Linked DNA regions of Yarrowia lipolytica. The protein of the gene in region 1 interacts with the protein of each later gene in a pairwise test. Links are inferred from orthologs where the notes say so. Each region holds a gene or a part of one and is shown on either strand. Other genes may lie near its edges.

Region 1 (2,957 bases):
CATTGTACACTACTGTACTTGTAGTATGAGTACGCACAGCACAAATAGACAATCGATATGATTTCTGTTAAAAGTTGCATGATATCCTTCACAAACAATACGGAGTACAAGTACATACTGTACGCGTATTTTACACATCTGATGAGCTATAAGCTTGATCTCAAGGATACAAGTAGACAAGAACAACAATGATGGTATATCCAGCAAGGTAAGTTATCTTGCCAGGTCATGACCCTTTGAATGATACTACTGCTATGGAGTCCCGATGCTGAGATATGTTATGGACTGGAGCTCTGGTGTCACCTACGCACGTCCACACGCTGCTTGGTCAATAAATATATTATACATTCCCACCTCTAGTCATACTTTCCATGGTTCATCCAGGTTCTTTCTCCGACCTTTCTTACCTGCACAGCGTCCGTAAAGTACCCTTCTGACCATCCTTTCATCATGGAGCTAGTGAAGGGACCGTGGACCTCTTCTCCCTCTGCCCATCGAAACACCCATTCTTCCTGCTCGTCTTCAATCTCATCCACTTTTCGTTTCAGATCTTTGACCGACTGGCCCGTCAACAAACAGTACTCCTTTTGGACCTCTTCTCGAGTCATGTCATAGATGTTGGACATGTCTCTAGACAGCAAAGCGTCACAGTACTCGGTCAGCTGTTCGATTTGCTGTACCATAGCCTTTTTCTCGTCACCATTGAGCTTTTTGCGCTCCTTTCCTAGTCGCGCAAGAGCCGCTAAGGACGATTCTCCACTCTGAAGCACTTCCGACAGTTGTTGCAACAGCTCAACCTTTGAAATAATCGGTTTAGCAGCAGCGGATTCCTTCCTGGACTGTTGCGCACGCTTGGCAGCAGCAATATCCTTCTTGCTGACTCCATCCAGCCACAAGTCTTGGTGCTCCTTTTCGTCCTGAGCGTTTTTGACAAAATTGCCTTCCTGATCGAACTTGCCCTCCTCCAAGTCTTGCTTGAGATTGAACGATTCCATCTTGGGTGTGTATTTCTTTGCCCTGCTCAGATCCACATCCAGTCCGTCCATGTCGTCCTTTGTGTAGTAGTCAATATCCACTTCCGAGTCGGACTCCTCTTCTTCTAGAGGGGCCACAGTGGTGTGTGTACCGACATCGCCCTCAAACTTTTCCATATCCATGAACTGCGGTTTCTCGTCATCAAACTCCTCCTCCTCGGGCCTGTCGCCGTTATCCTTCTCTTTGTTCTCTTCGTCTTCGTCCTCACTGAACATGTCGCTGTCACTGTCGTTGTTTCCATGTCCATTTGCTCCCTTCACAGGCGCATCCTCATCGGAAGAGTCGTCATCGATGCCTCGAAGCCCCTTTTTCTGCGCCCGGACTCGTCCCCCAATATCCTCCTCCAGCAATTCATCGAGTTCGGTCGTTTCCTCAACCTCAGGCGCCAGCTGGAGCGGGTTATTGGTGTTAAAAGTAGACATGGTGATGAAGAAATCACAGCATGCATGTCGAATGTTTGTGCATAGTATAAAGGAGTATATAAGTCTACTAAATGTCCAATAACAAATCCAACTAGACTTAGTGATTGAAAATTAATGTATTATATTATTATACCTACAGGTTAACACAATCTCTGTGAAATACAGTACTTGTAGAACCTGCCAACAATTTGGACCACCTTTTTTCGAACACACATATCTCCTTAATCAAAGTTTTTTACTTGTAGTGGCAGTTCTCTTGCTCTGGCTAAGCAGTCGCATCCTACGTGCGATACGATACATGCAGCTCTTCATCTGCAGGTTAAATTCAATTATAAAGCATCAAATTTATTGTACTCACCATCTATCACACTCTCCGCCGCGGCTACAGAAATGCCAGCTATCCCTACAGAAATGAAGCAGCACGACGACATCTTCGAGGACTTGTTCCAGCTTGAAGAAAAGTGAGTCAGAGGTAACTGAAGGTGCTCAGACACCACCATCGGAAAACTTATCATGCTAACCACAGATTCTACGAAGAAGGATACAATGATGGACTACAGGCTGGTACAAAGGCTGGGTTTGCTGAAGGACGTGAGTTTGGAGTACAGACGGGATATCAGCGGTTTCTGGATCTCGGTTTGCTCCAGGGACGAGTCATAGTGTGGGAGGAACAGGTGGCTGATCTACCTGAAAGCAAACAGCAAAAGACAGTCGAGCGACTGCAACAGATCAAGCAGCTGATCCACCAGGAGGAGCCCACATATTTTTTATCCAACGATAGTGTGGTCGTTCATCAATACGAAACTATGATGAAGAAGGCCAAGGCCAAGGTGAGAACTTTGGCAGCCAGCATCGGTAGCGAAAAGGTGGTGTTTGAGGATCTGCTCAAGGGTTACACTGAAGAGGAGAATATCGAGGATAACTTCTAGAACGATATCTAGACGTATGGGAGTGGCGTGAGGAAGAAAACCTCAGCTAACCAGAGAAGGGAGATTACCAATTCAGCACCCAACCCTGACGGTTGCATCTCAGACAATGATAATGACACAGGTATGCAGATCGATCGCCTCAGGTTGTCTCATCTCGTTCTAAGGAGGTTAATGCAGTTCAAATAAGGGTGCTCTAGAGTCTTGCCACTCGATCTGCCTCAATTACCTGCTGAGTCGCTCAGACGAGCGAAGCTGCAATGAATATACGAAATTGATGAGTTATGAGTTATGACACATTATATTTAGAGCTGTATGTTGAATTCTAAGCAAATGCGAAGAGTCCCTTGACGGTAGACTTTCTCATGTGATCAATACTGAGTCCTTGTAGATAGGAAAAGTTCAAGCCTAAGCAATCTTTTGACTTCCTAAAGGACTTTAGAAGACACACATGGCGGTGTGTTGACCTACACCAGCACCCAGTAATCAGCATGTACTGTAGAACTGTAGCTACAGTATTTGTATGACAACTGCTTTTATTACCACCTACAACTGCAGTCATTTTTACCCCTAA
Region 2 (3,016 bases), about 550 kb from region 1:
AAGTGGGGTCCATAATATGAACGATGATGTTTTTATGCGAAAAAAAAGCGAATCATTAGAATAAAATAAAAGCAATCATTAGAATAAAAAAAAAGCAAAGATTCAGAAGTGTATGATTTATTGAATGCCAATAACCCGGCTTACTACTAGTAGGTATATAGCTGTAATGAATCATTAGAATAAAAAAATGCGCTTAATTATCGAAACAAAAGGTGGTTGTCTAGGGGTGTGGTGAGTCCAAGAGGTATAAAAGTTGAAGATGCGATTTAAAATACAAGGAATATACGTCATTTACAACCTTTATCCACCCCCGTGCTTTCAGTGCTGTAATTTAAGCCGCTGTAAAAACACGTTGTTTGCAAGGTTGTGTTTTGTTGTTTTTTTAAAAAAAATAAAAATAAAAATAAAAATAAAGGAACGATATGGACCACTCTTAGACATACAGTTGACTCTGGTTGTTTTTTTTTTTAAATAACTCACAAATGTATAGATCTATAATGTAGATGTCACGGCAATTGTTGTGAATGCTCAAAACTCGACATTCCGAGGGTCCTTGAGGGCGTGCTTGATGTACTTTGTGTGTCGTCCTCGAGCAAACAGAGATAGATCCGAGGCGTTGTAGAAGTCAACGGAGGTGTAGGCCAGGGATCGGCCCATGTTATCCAACAAACAGTCCATGATGATCTTGTTGCCAATCTTGCCTCCGGAGCCAATGTAGGAGACGTTGATGTCGGTAGACACGCCGGTAGCGAAAGCTCCGGAAGAAGCGACGGCCATGGAGCCTCCGAGATCAACCAGAGACGCAATTGTGCCTCCGTGAAGGATTTGAAGCCGGTTGGTGTGCTCCTTGGCGACGGTGAGGCCGAGTCGGACCTTTCCGCGTTCAGCAGAGTCGATGGAAAGCTGTGTTAATGGCGGACAGAGGGGGTGGCGTGGAATTTGGCGGTTACCTGAGGGCCATTGAAGTACTGGCTGCAAATTCGGTGTGACTTCGGTATTATTGATATGGCTGGTACGCAACTGAAGTCATATTCCGTCTGTATTTTAAAGATAGCTCGAACATCTCATGTAGAGATTCGATGATCACAAACTTGGAACTAGGGAATGTGTCTGTAGACTATCTCTGAGTTACAATCAACCATAGCCCAGGGCCTCTTCCCCGAAAACTCACCGAACGTACCAGTACCATCTCTCACTCTCCCATACTCACCTGAGACAACAGCGTGGGCTCTAGGCCACTGAGCTGGAGGAAATCTCCCCATACCTGCGTTAGTAACGTGTAACAGGCCAATTGGGGCCTTTTGGGGTTCTATACTCACGGCTCGGACGTGTTTGAGAACCTGGGCGTGCGACATGTTGATGTGGGGAAGATGAGCATGCATGCATGAAGTGCAAGGGAGATTGGGTGCAGTGGAGCTACTGTACCTGTAGGTTGGAAGAGGTTGCTTGGTATATTTTATGGACGACATGTTAGAAGTGGCGGGGAGATGGAGTATGTTCTGGAATAATAGAGTCGAGACGATATGATAAAAGATTTCAGGCTTCTTGAGTGATGATATTTGAGCAAGATAGGTCCTTAATGTTGTTTCGTTCATTGTAGCAACCGATCAGTGGATAAGTCTAGTTGGGAGAGGTACAGTAGGGTGTTAAGAAAGCGTCACCGAAAGTGCGGTCCCACAAGTACCTACAACAGCAAAATCGAGAGCTGCTTTAGACTAGAATGAGAGACCTAGCTTGTGAGGTTGAAGTGGCCCACTGGTGAGATTGATGGATAAAAAAACCCATCCTATCGCCCTAGCAAACCTCCACTGTTACCTACATTCCTAACTACACTTTACTTACACTTTACTTAAAACTCTGGTCCTTAAAAGACCAGCCAAAAATTCCAAATAAACTCAACATGCATGCTGATTTGTAAGGGAGCCTGCACATAAAAATGGCATTGAACTGACATCTTTCTCTAAACAGAGCAACAACGACATGTCCGACATCTGGGATGACGAGGAAGTGAGAGAAACGCCCAGCGAGATCACACGAGTGAAGCGCGACCACTCACAGGCAGGCTACCTTGCTGGAGTCACAAAGGCCAAAGACGAAAGTCTGCAGGAGGGCTTCAACGCAGGATACCCCATTGGAGGCCAGCTGGGGCTCTCTATCGGGCGTATTTTCGGCTATTTGCAGGGAAAGGGTCTTGTTGAGGAGGAGAAGCAGGCCCGCAAAGAACTCAGCAGCACGAGGATCTTCGACAGACAGTATTGGACCACTGATGCTGCTCCTACATATGAGGGAGTGCATCCTCTGGTGAAGCAATGGGAGAACAAGATTGACGTCATGAAGCGGGAATAGAGGAGGTAGATGTTGCTGAGTATGCTTTGTGGAGTCTGGATGGTGTACAGTTACCAGTACTCTTACCTCAGTTAACTGAGAACGAGATCACGTCTTGGAACAGAGGACCCCACTACTGTCCACCCACGAGTACGGTGCGACTATTTAATGATTAATGATTGTATTTTAGAGATGCACTTCAAGTATATGATAATTTAGTAGAAGATCTGTATCAAAATCTCAAGCTCTGAGCTTTCTACCAGCCCCCTATCATTTTCGCCCCATATTCAGCTCTACTTAATTTTCTCAGTAAACTCAACTAAACATACTCGACGCCCCACGTCCAGCAAAGTTCAGACATGCATGAAATTTCAGCGTCTGAAGTTATCACCAAAACGAGCATTTTCTCCTGTCCAGCAAAACTGCCATGAGTAAACTGGAGGTGCTACAGCCCCACAGTGTCGGCAAGCGGATCGCTTCGATAGCCGTGAGTGGGACGTTGGCCCAGCAGCAGCGGCGGATAGAGGAGGGCACACAGCGTACACGGAACCAACTGCGCACGCGACAAAAAGATTTTTCACGACCAACGGCTAAAGACACGTACTTCGCGGGCGTGTCCAAGGAAACCCGTTTTATCGACACATACACGGCCCGGCTGCGGCAGTCGCATCTCACCTTACTATTTGAGTGT

Evidence for each region.
Region 2: the proteins of YALI1_E31034g (region 1) and YALI1_E25541g interact in binary tests that used the Saccharomyces cerevisiae proteins (3 or more experiments, as listed by UniProt). The link is inferred for Yarrowia lipolytica from reciprocal best matches to the Saccharomyces cerevisiae genes LTO1 and YAE1.

The regions. Positions count from the first base shown.
Region 1 is NC_090774.1:3,101,626-3,104,582, forward strand, and holds YALI1_E31034g (uncharacterized protein), read left to right. Parts: upstream 1-1,847; coding exon 1,848-1,918; intron 1,919-1,983; coding exon 1,984-2,386; downstream 2,387-2,957. Other genes in the region: YALI1_E31031g (uncharacterized protein), read right to left, coding at 357-1,457. UniProt on the Saccharomyces cerevisiae protein: Essential for life in oxygen, but nonessential under anaerobic conditions. Required for biogenesis of the large ribosomal subunit and initiation of translation in oxygen.
Region 2 is NC_090774.1:2,552,178-2,555,193, forward strand, and holds YALI1_E25541g (uncharacterized protein), read left to right. Parts: upstream 1-1,980; coding exon 1,981-2,346; downstream 2,347-3,016. Other genes in the region: YALI1_E25537g (uncharacterized protein), read right to left, coding at 1,098-1,595; YALI1_E25549g (uncharacterized protein), read left to right, coding at 2,753-3,016. UniProt on the Saccharomyces cerevisiae protein: The complex LTO1:YAE1 functions as a target specific adapter that recruits apo-RLI1 to the cytosolic iron-sulfur protein assembly (CIA) complex machinery.